Rattus norvegicus: one gene and its partners. The main gene of each other region encodes a partner of the protein of the gene in region 3 in a complex. Links are inferred from orthologs where the notes say so. Each region holds a gene or a part of one and is shown on either strand. Other genes may lie near its edges.

What was found.
Region 1: Rbm10 (region 3) and Mysm1 share a complex: the UniProt entries of both Homo sapiens proteins name them as parts of the large chromatin remodeling complex. The link is inferred for Rattus norvegicus from reciprocal best matches to the Homo sapiens genes RBM10 and MYSM1.
Region 2: Rbm10 (region 3) and Kif11 share a complex: the UniProt entries of both Homo sapiens proteins name them as parts of the large chromatin remodeling complex. The link is inferred for Rattus norvegicus from reciprocal best matches to the Homo sapiens genes RBM10 and KIF11.

Annotation. Positions count from the first base shown.
Region 1 is NC_086023.1:114,918,024-114,923,846, forward strand, and holds part of Mysm1 (deubiquitinase MYSM1), read right to left. Parts: intron 5,293-5,823; exon of another isoform or gene 5,157-5,292; intron 3,904-5,156; coding exon 3,185-3,903; intron 1-3,184. UniProt on the Homo sapiens protein: Metalloprotease with deubiquitinase activity that plays important regulator roles in hematopoietic stem cell function, blood cell production and immune response.
Region 2 is NC_086019.1:244,581,048-244,586,870, forward strand, and holds part of Kif11 (kinesin-like protein KIF11), read left to right. Parts: intron 1-999; coding exon 1,000-1,222; intron 1,223-3,161; coding exon 3,162-3,310; intron 3,311-4,169; coding exon 4,170-4,286; intron 4,287-5,823. UniProt on the Homo sapiens protein: Motor protein required for establishing a bipolar spindle and thus contributing to chromosome congression during mitosis. Required in non-mitotic cells for transport of secretory proteins from the Golgi complex to the cell surface.
Region 3 is NC_086039.1:4,104,720-4,110,542, forward strand, and holds part of Rbm10 (RNA-binding protein 10), read right to left. Parts: intron 4,379-5,823; coding exon 4,195-4,378; intron 2,653-4,194; coding exon of another isoform or gene 2,419-2,652; intron 2,235-2,418; exon of another isoform or gene 2,162-2,234; intron 584-2,161; coding exon 514-583; intron 1-513. UniProt on the Homo sapiens protein: Binds to ssRNA containing the consensus sequence 5'-AGGUAA-3'. May be involved in post-transcriptional processing, most probably in mRNA splicing. Binds to RNA homopolymers, with a preference for poly(G) and poly(U) and little for poly(A).

The DNA of each region.
Region 1 (5,823 bases), on a different chromosome or scaffold from region 3:
GTGTTACAAGTAAGTATTCTTTCCCCAATACTAAGCCCCACAGATCCCAGGTATCCCCAAAACTTGAAATTAGAAGCTTATTCTGTAAGAACCAAATTGACATTTCCATCTGTGAATAAAAGAGCACTTTGGGAATTAAGAAGCCTTAGTACTGGGACATCCCCTTACTATTCCTTTTGTATAGTACTGCCTCATGCTGCTAGGCAGCTAGTCTAGTACTGAGTTATACTCTCAGCCCCAAGGTTTTCCCAGCTTTGCCAATGCTGTTAATTATTAGCTCTCTCAAAAAATATTTAAGTATTGTATATTTATTTTTAATTGTAAGAACTTACTCTAAAAAAGGAAAACAGACATATTCTAGGGGATTCCAAAGGAAATCAAGAAACTCAGTGAAATTGAAAGATTCATACAATAATCTTATTTACTTAACATGCTTTGAACAGGAACGGAGAACTTTACAGTAGTAGAAATCAATTACTGATCAGCTAAATGCTGCAGTGTTAGACACCCAGGCTCAACCTTCACAATTCTGTAAGACTGACTACCAATTCATCTTAGAAGGGAGTACAGGAGCTGGCCAGAATCACTACAGCACCTACTTAACATAAAGAAGTGGTGCGATACAGATGCAGATACCCACCCAGGCCTTAACTGACAGCACAGATGTGACTTGCTCACATTTTATTCTCTAAGTATCTGTGCTCTATGTCCCAGACACAGTTGTAGGAACAAGAGTCTGGGAGGTGAGCAATGCAAAGTTCCTGTTTTCAGAGACCTTAAATTCCAATGGAGACTATCAATACATAAAAAGGAATAATATATACTTTGTTATCAAACAATAGCTCTAAACAGAAAGAGAAGCCTAATGGAGACAGTCCATCAAACAGGCATAGACTACTTTAGATAGGGTGCTTAGGGAAGGCCTTGCTAAACCTGCAAAATCAAATCCATAAATCTACAAGGTCTACAGAAGGTGAAAATAAGTGTGATAGAGGAGAATATTGTAACTTCCTCAGAAAAGCTGAGACTTCCATGTTTGATGAAAGGAAAGCGAACTATGCAAGCATGACAAAAATATAGGAAAGCGCACAGCTACTAAAGAATGGCAGGAGCCTGGAAAGTGGTTTCATCTGCATCTGTCTTCTCTAATCAACAGGCTTACGCGTGGCTTAGATAGTAAATATTTCTGTTCACCAAAGACTCTAAATCTTCTCCAACAACTAAAATGCCTTCTGTCATCTAAGCACTGTCTTAAGCAGGGGGTACTTGATTAACAGAACAAACAGAACTGCCTTCACATTGCCTGTATTCTTACAGGACTACGGTAGGAGACGATTCACAAAATGGCAGCATTTTCAGTGGTATTAAGTTGTATGACAAAAACAAACAAAGGATGCCAGAATAGGGAAGAGCATCACCACACACATCACTTTCCTTGAGCAGAACCAAAGAGTCAAAGAGCCAGTACCAGAAGCTCTGAAGGAAGAGAAGGTTAAGGCCAGAGTTACAGCTCTTTAAATACTGAATCAACCCGGAAGCTGAAGTCACCTTCACAAGAGAACTGAAGACGGTTTAAATATAACAAACACATGGTATGTGGTAGAATAAGGTAAAATAATGTTATTAACAGTTGACTAACACTTTAATAAAAACATACCCCTAAGTAAAACCAATTGTACCTGTTCTCATGGAAAAGAAAGATCTGTATGTCTCTTTGTTTTTAAAACTTTATCTTCTCTTTTTAAAAAAAAGTACCATCTATATTGTTCTATACTTTATACTTTTTCTTTAAAAACATTTCTTTTGCTTTTATACTTTTCCAATAAATATCTCATACTTAAACAGCAATATCAAATAGGCTTTGTGTATTAAATAAAAGGACTTAGGAAACTACTGCCATATAATCGACACCATCTCTGTAATTTATCCTGCTAATTTAAAATCCAAAATTCAGTGTGACAAACTTTGTCTAAAATAACATTAAATATACACAAGTTGTGACATTTCTGAGGTAGAAATTGTTTTGAAAGTCTTTGATTTTGGCTATCCATCATTTTATTTCCAAAACCAAACCCAGGTATGAAGAGAGATCTAATTTAATCCACATTTAAAAGCTGTCAACTAGGTAATGTAGAGTAATAGAATGAGTGAGTTGGACTGACACCTTTCTTGGGTCAGTGTCTGGTTGAAAGATCAAAGGCAGGTACCCTAAGATCTGAGATCCCATTGCCTATTTCACAGGCCTGTTGTGAAGACTCAAATGAGATGATTCAGGGCAGCCTTCTGTAAACCACAAAGCTCTAGGCAAATGGCAGTTGTTTCTCTTAAGTATTTCTTACTCTAATGACATTCTTAGCCAGAAGATGGTTCTTCAGTGGTCGTGTTGGTGCAAAATCACCATGACACAAAGCCAGAGCAAACATTTTGTGAGAACATGGCTGTCTTTAAAAGCCAAGTAAATTAATGTTATCTAAGTGCAATGAATTATTTAACAATGTACATGTTAATCTTAGGTAGCATTTTAGGTTCTAGCAGAAAGCCACTGAAACAGGACAGAGAAACCTTTGATAGAGGAGAAAACAAAGGACAACACAGAATCCACATCCAAAGATCTGGAAAGCTTTCTAAAACACTAAGAGCATCTATGGATGCTTGAAGGAGCCTTAGTTACTCTCAGTGTATCTAGGCTAATAAGGAGGGTAGTCTTTTGGTTTCCTAAGTAATTGTGTTCATTCCACATTCAAAGTTGCAAGCACTGAAGAGCTATTCAGATGACAATTTCTGTACTATAATCATGTTTAACAATATTTCCTGTCTCTGAGTTTGTCCTTTTTTATTCTCAAATACATGTGAAACTGGAAATTCTCTCCTTTCCCAGGCCAATATGTTCTATAGTTATAGCTTCCCAACACTGCCCCAAGAAACTGCTGCCCCCTAAAAAATATGGCCACTCCCTTCTAGCCAGGCTTCTCTTCTACAGTGGGATGACATGTTGTGATAGCAATGGATGCCCATGCTTATCAAAGTTTTTAAGAGGTTCACTATGAGAAACTTTAAATCATGACTACTGAAGGAAGACATGCAGAAGCTCTTTGAGTCTCTAGCAAATCCACAATTCTGCATGGTCCTAATCTATATGCTTTAGAGTACCAAGTTTTTAGAACATGTACAATGTAATTCTTACCACTGATCCAAAATGTAGTTTCTAATTTTCAAATAGCGTTCTGGTGTTTTAGTTTGACGCCCCTCAAAAAACTCAGGAATTGCTTGCTTTTCTTCTTCTTGAATGACATTTCTATCTATTTCTACTTCTTGTTCCGGTGGCTTAAGCTCTTCTCCTTCATGGTTTTCCTCCTCCACTTGGCAAGGAGGCAAAAGCAGTTCATTTCCACGTGGGTCCTTCTGACCCTCACAGGGCTCTGGAGAAGGTGAGTGCTTGGTTTCCTCTGTTAGCATAGTGTATTCCTCAACCAGTTTACTGTATTTCTCATTTAATTCAACTGAGTTTTTGCCATTATTATTTTGTTTTTCAGCCCATGACATAATTTCTGAGCTTGAACATGCTTCTGCTTCACTTTGCTTCACATTCTGAAGATTTTCTTCTGCAGATTTAGCTAATGAACCTTCTTGGCATAATTCTCCTTGGTTGGTCTTATACATTTTACTACTAGGAACATCTAAAGTAAGATGGCCGCCATAATTCTTTTGTGATGTTTGAGAAGTCAACTCATCCAGCTCATCGGTGATGTCTACATCTTCATCATCAGACAACTTCTCTATTTTTACAGCATTAAGGTTGGGATCTGATGCGACCCACACCTTTGTCCTTTCATCTTTATTTTTAACCTGAAGATCACTGTTGCTCTTCAAAGTTGGTGTTTCTTTCTCCGCACCCCACTTTACCTTATTAAGAACCAAAATAACACACACACATATTATTAAACTAGATTTGAGGTTTAATCACTTTATACAAAAAAATTAGATAAAATGTTTTTAAACTAAGCACATGTTAACAGATATCATACCTTCACTTGCTTAAAAAAAAAAATCTTATAAACTTAATTTAAAAAACGGACAAGTAAATAACATCATACACCAAAGTCTGTAAGTTAGACCCAATTAACCAGACCCAAAGTCTATACATCTCAGTGAATTTCTACAGCTAGAACAGCCATTCTGAACCTGTGGAGCTCCACACTGGATTCCATACTTTCACTCTTGAACATACTTTTATGCAAGTATCTACCACCAAAAATGAAGAATCCTTGACAGAGTTTTGGTGTTTTAGTTTTGTTTGACTAGAAAAGCAGTTAATTTTATATCCTCTTTCATTTTTCATATACATCACCTGCACTCATTCTGTCTTCATTCCCCTTATATCTATCTAGCCTTTCTTGTGCTCCTTTCTATATGTTATATTATACCCACACGTACATTTGCTTATATATATACATAATTGTCTAGAATGCCTATATGAGAGAGAACACCCTCTTTCTGAGATAATGTGGCCTTGCTTAATATTATAAAAATATATATTTTAAGTCTATCCATTTTCCTATGAATTTTGTAACTTCATTTTTCTTTAAAGTTGATATATATATATACATACATATATGTATAGATACATACATGCATAAAATTATCCAGTCATCTAGTGATGAAGGACTGAAGGACTAGGCTAATTCCAATTTTTTGCTATATTGAATAAAATACAACTAGTAGAACACATTATTTACATTAGAAAAAAGATCTCATTTAAGACACTTCCAAATTTTATATAATTATGCTTCTAGATCTTAAATGCATACAATAGAAATTCTAAATAGCAACACTACATAACTGGTCTAGACAGCTGGCTCAACAATTATAGAGTTCTGGCTGCTTTTCCAGAGGACAGGACAGGATCAGTTTCTAGAACCTACATATCGGCTCACAGCCGCCTGTAACTCCAATTAGAGGATCCAGTGCCCAATCTCTTAGGCCTCTGAGGGTACTGCATACATGGGTAAATATAGATACATGTAGTAAAACACTCATATACCCTAAATCAAAAAATGTACATAGTTAAATTATTTGAAAAGTTAAGGAACTTGACCATAAATACATCTTTCTGAACAAGGTTATTAAGTTTTTCAGACAGTTCTCTGTTTTTTTTTTAATGTTTCCAAGGTCCCTTGAGGCAACCCATATAGATAATGGGCTGCATACACTACCAAGGAGGCTGCTGTTTGCAACCACTGCACACCACAGTCCCCATGGGGAAAGGGACTTGGCCGGCTTAGTTAGCTGCAACAAACTGTTCTTTATAGCAATAGTAAAAACCCTTTTACCATAAACAGATTTCATAACTACATTAGGTAGCATTTATATCTCCTAAATTCTAAAATTTCTACGTGTTTCTTTCACAGTGCAAATATTTATAAAAGAATATTTTCTGGAGAAAACATTAAGGCTGCTTAACATTTCCTCCAGGAATGCTACTTGCTGTATAGAACTAACCAGCAGTACAACGAAGAGGTGCTGGGACACCACAACACACACCATCAGACACTTCACTCTGAGCTACCTGTGGATTGCAGACTGGACACAGCTGCCCCAGTGTTTTTAAAATTAACAAACGACAGAGGGCTTAGTGGGTAAGCCAAACTTGACAACACAAGTCCAATCTCCAGTCTCCACATGGTGGAAGAAGAGAACCTACTCCCACAGTCCTCCCACCTCCATATCCCCGCCATGGCACACATACATGCATGGTCACATCACACATAAAATAACATGATTTTTTTAAGGATTCACATATATCTTGAGTATTTATTACTTTAA
Region 2 (5,823 bases), on a different chromosome or scaffold from region 3:
ATAATGTGTGGACTTGTATGCCATTGTAAAACTTGCACTTTTATATAGGTTTCAGAAATCAAACTGAGGCATAGAAGCTGGACAGAGGGGCACACACACTTGGGAGGCAGAGGCCAGGGAGATTCAGAGTTTGATGAGTCCAGTTAGTGCCATATAGTCTTAAGACTCTGTCTCATAAATAATATAAACAAACAAAAGCTTGGCATAAAGATATATTTGACCAAATCCAGAACTTGAGACGTGGGAAAAGGCTTAGTTTCTTGTGTCCATAGTCTCTCCCCAGCTCCTCTCCCCTCTTTCCCTTTCCCCTCCCCTCTTCTCCTGGCTTTGGACCCATTACCTTTCCTATGGTAGCTTTAAAATCATCCCCCTGCCTCTTCTTCCCTGTGCTGTGATTAAACGTGTATGCCCTCTTGCACATCTTAAAACCTGGTTTCTTAAAAAAGCAAAGGTTTTCACGTTAAACAAACAAACAAACAAACGAAAATCAAAGAATAAGTTACAGAGCAAAAAAAATACTTTTAATAAAGACAGTCTTCAGTCTGGAGTCTGTCTGTCTGCCTGCCCATCTATCTTTCAGAAACAGAGAGTTTGTGTATGTGTGTGTGTGCATATATGGCTGTCCTGGAACTAGGTCAGCCATAGGTCAGGTTGTCCTTGAACTCAATGAGATCAGTCTGCTTTTGCTTCCTAAGTGCTGGGGTTAAAGGTGTGTGCCACCACTGCCAGGCTGTCTGTCTGATTTTTAAGTTAGCCTTTCCTTACATCTGTTATTGGAGTGATGTTAAGGATGGGTAGCCAGAGATGGCTTAGCAGGTCAGAGTGCTTCAGGTCCCGCACCTATACTGTGCAGTGAATATAGGAGCTAGTTGCTTTGTTTTTAAAACTTGCTAAGTTTTTAAAACTTGTATTCTGGGAAGTTTTGAGGTAGTAAAACATGGTATGTGTGCTAAAAGTGCTTACAAATTTTGTAATGAAAGCTTGTTTTGTCCTTTACAGTTTGTAAATGGATGTTGTGAAGCTTCAAGTTCAGAGATCACTGAAAAAATAAGAGGACACAGAGCAGCTATTGAGAGCCAGCACAGCTCCTTTGTTGTTCAGATAACTTCTGATGAAGAAAAATTTAAAGCTGGAAGCCTAGAGCTTGATAAAACTATAAAAACTGGTTTAACAAAGCTTAATTGCTTTCTGCAACAGGATCTGAAACTAGATATCCCAACAGGTATGCTATTTTTACTTTTTAAAGTTTATTTTACTCATGCGTGGGTAGATATGTGCACTTACATGCAGTACCTTTCGAGGCCAGGTGAAGGGATCCCTCTGGAGCTGGAAGTTGAGGTAGGAATGAGTGTGAATGCTGGGAACTGAACTGTGGTCCTCTGGAAGAGTAATGTATCCTCCTCTCCAATCCCCAATGGGTTTTTTTCCCATTAATTTTTTTCACTTTACGTTAAGATTTATTTATATGCATGTATGCCTGCAAACAAATTTGTTGAAGTTTTGAAATTGAATTTAACTGTATACAGTGTTAAATACTCTTTGAAACTGAGCCTGCCTTTGCCCGCAGAAATTTACCATCTCTCTGTAATAACATTTAAATAGGAAAATTTAGAATACCAAAATAATTCTAATCCAGTCTTAGCTGTCCTCCTGGTATATTTTTTAGAAATTTGGGCACAATAGAATAATAGTTCATAAACAGACAACTGGCTTTGTTAAGAATAGACATTTTTAAAGCCTGGTATAGCTTAAAAGCACGCATATAAACAAGTTAGACATTTGAATGTTTATGACGTTTTCTAATACATTTCCCTCAGGAGGCTGAGAAAAGAAAATTGTCACTTGTAGACTATCCTGGGCTACAAAGCAAGACTCTGATGAAAGAGAAAAAATAAAATCTTGGGTGTGGGGTGTGGTGGCAACACTTTGTACCAATACTCAGAGGAGTAGGTAGGGTGATCAGGAGCTCAAGGTCATCTTTAGCTGCAGAGTAAACTTGATGCTCTCCTGGGCTATAAGAGCTCCTGTCTCAAAGAGCCAAACTGAAACTAAAAAGCGTTAAAAACAAAGTTGACTGACTAGTCAGCAGTGTGTTTAAAAGGATGTTTTAATACCAAAAGTACTAGATGAGTATTAAAGCTAATTCTTTTTTTCTTAAGATTTTATTTATTTTGTGTGTGTATTACAATATATATGAATATATATATATGAATATATATATGAATGATGAGTACACTGTAGCTGTCTTCAACACACCAGAGGAGGACATCAGATCCCATTATAGATGGTTGTGAGCTACCATATGGTGGCTGGGAATTCAACTTAGGACCTCTGGAAGAGCAGCCAGTGCTCTTAACTGCTGAGCCATCTCTCTAGCCCATAAAAGCTAATTCTTGTTTAATGCAAAGTAAAGTTCACTGCATTGTACAGTTTTTTCCACGCCCCCTCTTATTTAAATGACTGGCATCATTTAAAAATCACCAGTTTTAGAGATCAGAAATGGCAAAGATGGATAAATTACCATGATCGCTAAGCTGTTACACATATTAATAACTGATCCCTCATTGCCTTGTAAAATCATTATAAAGTCATTGAATCATACACTGTTTGAATGATTTTTGTGGCATATAAATTACATCTCAAAGCTTCCTTTTAAAGAAGTAATTGTAAAGAGTTTGTACTAAAGAATATTGATTTATTTAGTTTCTTCAGTCTTTCAGATTTATCATTAGCTATCAATGAAAATGAAATGCTATGTGAAAAGTTAAAAAAAAAGAACTGCATGAGAGCCAGGCACTGCACCAAATTTATAATGACATGACAACTCCTTTCAAAGCTGGTACAACTTTTAATTCCATTTCTCAGAATACCCAAAGTCTTTCATAAGCCTAATACATCTTTTGTATACTTTCTTAGAAAAGAAAACTTCACATTTTGGAGGTAGGATAACTTTTGAGAATTTTAAGACCTATTAAAGATCCATTACTACATAACAAAATATTCCTAGCTTCAACCGGTATGTGCTTGGCAGGTAAAAAAGCTATATGAAAATCACTGTTTGGTTTTGGAAGACAAATTACTTGAAAGTATTCATTTTAACATAATATTAAAACCTATTTCATACTTAATTTCTCCCTTCTTTTCTAATGTCTGCTATAAAGGTATGACACCAGAGAGGAAAAATTATTTATATCCATCAACACTTGTGAGAACTGAACCACGGGAGCAACTCCTTGATCAGCTGCAAAAGAAACAGCCCAAGCCACTGATGATGCTAAATTGCTCAGAAAGCAGCAAAGAGACCAGTCAGGTAAATGTAATACGTAAGTTTAGCGCTTTTCCACACACTGTTACTTATTATTGCATGTATGGGGGCACATGTGTGCATGGGAGTGTGCATTTAGTATGTGTGCGTGTGAGTGGGTGCCTTTTTAATTGCTCTTCACTGTGTACACTGAAGTAGAGTCTCTCACTTGAATCCAGAGCTGCCAGTTACCAGCTCTCCCAAGTGCTGGGTTACGGGTGGGCTGCCACAAGATATTTAGGTAGGTGCTAGGGATCCAAAATCTGATCCTTACATTTGAACAACAAATGTTCACCCCTGTGAACTCTTGATGTGGTCAATTGCATGGCATGAATATTACTTTCTACTCTTCAGTCCCAAGCTGCTTTCTGTGAGAGTTGCTGACTTTCTTTTAATCTGATTAATTTTGAATTAATTGGACTAGTAAATAGTAATAAGAAAAAGCCAGTATTTAAGCTGTGATTGCATACCAGACATTGTTCCAGGTTTTTTCATGTATGTGAACTTAACCCTTTCAATAACCCGGTGGGATGGCTGCCACATCTTTAAAATGATCAAGCTAAGAATTCTTTTGTCTCAGATTACAGAGATGAACCTGCAGTTAGAAGGGAGGCAGTCAGGCCTTCAATTTGTGCTCTGTAGTTAATAGCAATAGAAAAGGTAATAGTATAGAAAAGCTAAGAAATTTGAGAACAAGTACGAGCCAGTACATTCATTATAGTTTGTAATTTTTCTAATAATTATCAAAGTTTAACTTTCATGTAATGCCTCTGCCTGTACCTCCAGAGAGCTAGGGTTGGCAAGCGTGCCCCACCAGGTCCTGCCCTGTGTGATGATCCAGCCACTCATCGCCTTCTTATTTTAGGACATGGAGGAGGACAGGGAGGTTCTGGAGCAGAGTACTGAAGAACTCGTAAGTCAAGAGCCGTGTGTACATACCAGTGCGGATTGCTCTTCCAGTGGAGGTGTTCCATTTTTTCAGGTACTTGATAATGTTTTCCACTCAGATTTTACTATTTAGTATAAAGGGACCGTGCCTAACCTAGCCAGTAGCCAGGCATGATGATATACACCAGAAATCCCCACACTTGTGAAGCTGAGGCAGGAGCTAGCTTAGGCTAACAAAGCAAGACCTGTCTTTCAAAAATAAAGCAGTAAGAAAACACAATTTCTTGGTGTAGAACAACAATAAAATAAGTCATTCTTTTCTAATGACTTGTTAATTTTTCTTTAAATTGTGTACATACTGTGATTGAAGGAATCGTCTATAGAATACATAAAGGTAAATTTTGATGTCATCTATAAGTATAGAAAGTAATCTTTAGGCTGGGGATTTAGCTCAGTGGTAGAGTGCTTACCTAGGAAGCACAAGGCCTTGGGTTCGGTCCCCAGCTCTGAAAAAAAAAGAACCAAAAAAAAAAAAAAAAAAGAAAGTAATCTTTAGTAATTTTTGTCTCATTTCTGCCTCTTATATTTCTTTTATTTGTACTTTACCAAGTGGGTCCTGGTGTGCGTCTCTGTCCGTCACACACTGAGACTATAAATTGTATTAGTGATTTACCCTGCCCACCCTGTGGCTCTCCTCATTCATTACTCCCCTGAGTTTCCCAAGCTTCCTGCTGCTCTGATGCTGTACACTTAAATGATCTGACAGATTCTATGCCCACTACCTTGGTTATCCTTTTTTTTTTTTTTTTTTTTTTTCCTTTTTCTTTTTTTTGAAGCTGGGGACCGAACCCAGGGCCTTGCGTTTGCTAGGCAAGCACTCTACCACTGAGCTAAATCCCCAACCCCCTTGGTTATCCTTTTAAGCAGTCACACTCAGTAGAACAGGCTAGCCTAGAATTTGGCAATCCTCCTGCCTTAGGTATTGCAGATGTGACATCATTCCCTTTTAACATAGTTAGGAACAGCCCATTCAAAAGTGCCTGGTGCCAAAGGAGGCATCTCAGACCTGTGATCATAGCCCTGTAGAAGCAGAAACAGTTTGTTCTCTGTAAGTTCAAGGCCAGTCTGTCTTCAGAGTGATTCCAGGCCAGCCAGGGCCGCACAGTGAACCCTATCTCAAAACAAAAGCGTTCCCTATATTTTGAAGATAAGAGCCTAGATTAAAGTAAAGATTTTCTATGCAAGATACATAATGTATGCTTTTACAGTTGGGATGCTGATATGTGTGTGTATATATATTTTATGCACATATATTTACATGTCTTATATATATATGCATGCATACTTACATGTGTGTTTATGTATGTATTATGTATCTATTTTTAATAGACTTTCTTGGGTCCTTTTCTGGAGGTGTAAATGTTCTCTCTTCATCCCAGGTTTAAACTGCTACATTTTTACAGATCTCCTTGGATCCTTTATGTGCCTCAGGGCAGTTTCACCCCCATATTCTTTTAACCCTTTACTTGTTATTGGCCTGGCACAGCCAGTCATTCTTCACCATCACTGTCACTCACACTGGTGGCCCAATTCTTTATTATTGTTTGTGGCTTTCCTGCTTTTGGTGCTGG
Region 3 (5,823 bases):
AAGTTCTGGCTGCTCCTTAGGATACACTTTCGATGAGAGCCATCCCTGCCCTCCCTTTCTTGGGACATATGGGTGGGTTCATGTCAGACCTACTTTTGGTTAGAGGTTGTTGTCAGAGGGGAGGAGACCAAGGGGCAGAGGAAGGAGGAGGAAATGAATGTCCTGGGAAGGGTTACCACCTCAGAAACTTAAAGTCCCAAAGAAGAGGTTTTCCAGAGCCTGGCTCTGACCTTGCTCCTGGGGAGTAGTCAGCTCAGCCCAGAGCTGCATCCCCTTCAGGACAGCAACCCTGTAGAGGCTGCTGGCTGGAGCTGTGAGAGTAGGGGATGAGAGAGATGAGAGGGTACCCCCACCCCCGCAAGCTGCCCATTCCCAGCTGTAGCAGGAGGGAAATAGGGAAGGGAAGGGAAGAGAGAGGGAGAGGCAGAGGCAGAGGCAGAGGCAGAGGCAGAGGGAGATTTGGAGGCTCAGGCTGGCCATCAGAAGGGGAGGGCACTGGGAACGAAAGCTCACCTGAGGATTTGTTCCGCATCAGCCGGACCTCTCGTGCTTGGACACCATGGGACTGCAGCTGGCCACGGATCTGTTCAGAAAATACAGAAGCGGGATAGGTTCAGCAAAGAAAGTGGCTGAGTATGTGAGGCCAACTCAAGGCCTCTGAGCCCCAAGGGGTCATGAAAGAAACACACACCCACATTTGAGCATGCACGCACATGTACACACACCCACACACATCCACACCCACACACCTACTTCCTCTACCTCTTTCAAAGCTTTCCCAGTAACAACAACTGCAGCCTACACTAGTATTCAGTCTCGCTTCCAGTTCTAGACTTGCAGAAAGTGAGTCAAACAAAGACAGAAAACATAGTACAGAATAAAAGATGGCAGCAAGATGACCCCCAGGGCACAAAGGCAACAGGAGAGCAAGTGAGGCAGCAAATCAGGAATGGTGGGCAGGGTGATCTGACAAGAGGCTTAGTAGCAGCCATGAAGCATAGAAGCTAGAATACAATTCTTGCCCATCACAGAGGAACTGCTCCCTCCCCGTGACTTGTACTAAAAGCTACTACCTATGGCACAAACAGTAAACAGGGAAGGACAGGAGCCGGAGCCATTCCAGCCATGTCAGGAGAAATTTAAAGACAAATAGCACAATGGTTGATCTGGACAGCTTCCTGAGTTAATGAACCTGAGGAACACTAGAGAGGCAACTTAAGAGCCCAGGTGAGGCAGTCTCTAGGCTGGCAGTACCTCTTTTGGTGAATGGGGAGTTTATGCCAGACACTTTTCAGTAAAAGTCTCTCTCTGTGCTTCTGGGTATCTGCTCTCTACCCGGGTTAAAAAAAAAAAACAAGAAATTAAGTCTTATGCACATAAGTACGTAGGAAGATGAAAAGTCAAGATACACAAATCTTATCAAGATTGCAAATAATCAGGGAGGACTTGTAAAATATCAACTTGGACTCTGGAGTCCAGCAGTCCAGGTTTAGACCCCAACTCTACTCTGCCACTTGCTGGAACATGAAGCAAGTCACTTTGCTGATTGGGGCTATGTGGGACTGACTACAATGTATACCTTCCAGAAAGAGCCTCTTTGAGGATTCAATCAGCTTGGCATGTGGCCTACCCTGCCATAAAACCACGGGTAATGTCAACGATCAGTCCAATCCTGAAAGCCCTCACATTTCTTAGGTGGGATTACTACTGTTAGAAAATGGGCAGCTGCCAGGCTTCCAAGGAAGCACTGTGTAGAGAACTGACTAGGGGTGAGGGTAGAGAGAGGTACCAAAGATCAGGGAGGATAGTCAAAATTTAACTTGAGTAATACTCTTGCATTTTGAATGTAGCTTGCCATAAGACATCTGCGTGAGAAGGAAACGAGTGAAGAGAGGAAGATGGAAGGCAGAGAATGTCACAAAGGCAAACAGCTTGAGAAGCTATCAAAGAGCCACCTTATGGGCAGCTGTGGCCAGGCTGTCACTGCTGACAAAAGGGGAGGAATATGGAAGTTCAGAAAAGCCCATGGGCCCTAAGATCTCACTCTCATGGGTTTCTGCCATGAAGAATACCAGACACTGGGCCTGGCCTCCATTCACATATACAAAAAGGGTGAAAGCCAATGGAATGTGCAGGAGAGATGTTCTTCTCTCACACCCACCAGCACCGGACACCCACGGCTACTGCCCCTGGGCCAAGCCAGCCTGTCTGCTGCCTTCTTCCCTTCCAGACCAGGAACTGATGGGACCATCCTGGAGGATGGATAGTGCTGGGGGACAGGAGCTGGTGGGGGAGAAGAGAGGAAAGGTGCTGTGGTTGGTGGCAAAGGATGGGTGGAGAGAAGCTGAGGGCCCTGGAGGAGACCCAGCCTGGACTCCTGCTTTGCCACCTGCCCAGGGCCATTGGGGGGGCACGTACGTCATCCTCAGTGGCTGCCTGTGGCAGCATCCTCAGCATGACGATGTTACTGGCCTTCTCCTCCTCCTCCTCCTCCTCATCCTCCTCCTCCTCCTCCTCCCCTTGCTCGGTCCGATAGTCCTGGTCCCGATAGTCGCCGTCTCTGGGGAAGCCTGGCGGGCCAGTGGGACTGTGCCTGTGCCGCCGCCGCCGCCTACGCTGAGTCTCGGAGCCCGGGGAGGCCTCGTAGGAATCCTGGCCGACAGAATGAGATGAGAGACACCAGACGGGCAGTCAGTCTGGGTGGGCCTAGTGGTTGGCCGCTGGCTCTCTGAGACAGGCGGGCTCTGAAAGCCAGGGGTGGGCAGGCGGGCTCCGGTTAAAGGCTCAGGCTTTTTAAGGCTGCAAATGTTCCACAGGATACTTTTAGGAGCTGCCTTCAAGGAATGGCAGTACTGGTGTGGAGGAGGAACTCCCAAAGGCAGGCTGACAAAAAACACTGCTTAAACCTCCTTGGGATAAACTAGCCTGGGGTCAGCAAACTAGACTTTGCCTTCACTGTCTTCTTTAGGCAGCTCAGCTGGTGTGTGTACAATTGTTTACTGTGCCACTGAAAAACACCTGTCTCCTAGAGTTCCCAGCTTAAGGTTGGGCCCTGGAACCAAGCCAGCGTTTCAGAAATAGTTTCAGATATGGGCCTGAGGCAGCCAGCAGGAGTTCATGGGCCATTATGCTCCCCCTTTGTCCTTGGTCCTCAGGCCTAGAAAAGTCTTTGTTTACTATGAGCTTCCTTCACACAGAGTGTGGTTGCTGAGTTGTTAGTTGTTATTCAACCTACTAATTTCAATACTAAACAGGTCAGGCATGACCCTACACCCTCCCACCTGTAGGGGACAGGTCCAGACAACTGGATGTTGTGTTCTACACTTGTCAATGGTCCATTCACAAGGTCCACTGTACCCATGGAGACATTAAAAGATACTGCTCAATTGCAGGCAATGGAGAAGCCTGGATGCCTGTAAGCCCTGGCTAACCAAACAAAGCTAGTAGTTTACCAGGGGAATCTTCAAATAGTCCCTCAAATACCCAGAAGGTAGAAGATAGTTTAAATACAATTTCTCCTCAGGGCTGGGCTTACAAAAGTATACCCTTTTCTATCCTACTAGACAGAGAGCTACTTGCCTACGTGCTTGCACTAGGTCTCTGACTGGTCCTCAGACTGAAATTCCCTAAGACAAGGGTGCTTCTAACCCTCAGATGTGGGTTCTCTCATAGTGAGCATCATGCCTTATCCTTTAGGTTAGAGGTTAACTACCTACATGGGACTGACTTCCCCAAAGATCTTTTCCTTCCTTTCTGTCTAGAGGTTTTGTCAAGACCAGAAACAGTGTTAGCTTCCCAGAGTTGTATGGATTGGTTGATAATTTTGTTCTCAGGTTGTCCTCTCAATCCTAGATACTAGGTCCCATGGAAAAGATCCTTTTGAGTTCCCTAAATTGGTGCAGTATAGAGGTTGCAGTGAATCCAAGGCCAAAACTGAACAACAGGGAAGAAGGGAAAGAAGTAGTGGCTAGGAGCCCTGAGAAATACAGAGTCAAGCAGTGTGAAAGCCAGGGAGACCCAACTCAGGAGAAGAGCCCTCAGAGAAGGGATCAGGGACAGACCCTCCCCTAGGTGACGCAAAGCAACTGAGTAGTCCAAAGGCACAGGAGCAGAGCGCTACCTACACCTGGTGCTGCAGCCAGACACACAGGCCTTTCAGGAGCATTGCCCCCCAAGGCCTGGCCTTGCCCTCACCTCTGCACTTTGCTCTTCAGATGAGTCGTCATACTCATGCTTGCCTTCCTGACTGCCATACTCTCGTGGGTATGAACGATAGTCCATGTCTCTATAATCATGGTCTCGGCTGCGGTTCTCTCCACCATCGTCCTGTGAGCGGTCAGTAGCTCCATACCGGCCAGTTCTGTCACCACGACCACCTCTAGAAGGATAGGAATTAGAAAACCATCTTTTCCAAAAAGCTCAAGATATGGAAGTCAACCCACAACCCTCTCTCTACGGCCTCAGTCTCACTTCATTGCATGGGCTAACTATCACAGGTTTTTTTTTTTTTATTTATTTATTATATATGAGTACATTGTAGCTGTCTTCAGACACACCAGAAGAGGGCATCAGATTTCATTACAGATGGTTGTGAGCCACCATGTGGTTGCTGGGATTTTGAACTCAGGACCTCGGGAAGAACAGTCGGTGCTCTTAACCGCTGAGCCATCTCTCCAGCCCCTATCACAGGTTTTTAAAGCCAAGTCACTTACTGCCATCCTTCCTAACCTCTAGTCCACATGTACATCAGGTGTAGTTTCCTGACTGAATTCTTCACCCCTACATAGGCTATGTGTCTGCAATCCAAAAACCCAAACATGAATACTATCTATGATAAAGTTAATCAACCCAATCATATCATTTGCTTTAGTAATTTTGCCTAAATAAACACATAAACACCCAAATATTCATCAAGATCCCACCAAGCCTACAGGGTAAGGTCTCTGCAAAACTCTATCTGTCTGCCCTTTGCACGTCACTATCCACTTCATAGCCATCTTGCTAGAACTAACAGCTCTTCAGTTAGAAGTACTCCAACTGTGGAGCTCTTGTGAAGGATGTGAGTATTTGGTGCGCAGATTGGGCAGCTCATAACTGCCTATAATCCAACTCCAGTGTCTTCTTCCAACTTCTGTATTCATACACACACACACCACACAGAAGCACATACGCATACTTAAAAATAAAAATTCTCTAACTATAGTTAACTATAAAATAATTACATCAAAGATGACTTAATTGTAAATCTTTGATGAGTTAAAAGATAGTAATATCTTTAAAGATTTATTTATTTTATGTATATAAGTAGCTGTCTTCAGACACACCAGAAGAGGGCATTGGATCCCATTACAGATGGTTGTGAGCCACCATGTGGTTGCTGGGAATTGAACTCACGACCTCTGGAAGAGCAGTCAGTGCTCTTAACTGCTGAGCCATCTTTACAGTCTGATAGTAATTTTATGGATATAGGTCAGTAGTAGAGTACTTGGCTAATATATGAAAATTGCTGGTTTCCATCTCAGACTGAGAAAAATTACTAGGTCTGTAGTCTTAGTTGCTCAAGGTACTGAGACAAGAGGTTTGACCCCAAGGCAGCATAGTGAGACTCGCCCACCACACATCTAAAGAAAATTGGGGTTGTGGATGTAATAAAGTGGTGATGCATATGCCCTCCACATAAAAGGTACTGGGTTCTTTTTCCCACATCACAAAAAAAAACCTTAAATGACTTAAAGGCAAGTTATAGGAAATGATAGAACCTGCCTGCTGGACTCACTACCTTACTCCTCAAAGCTTAATACACAGGGGTCAGTGGTGATGATA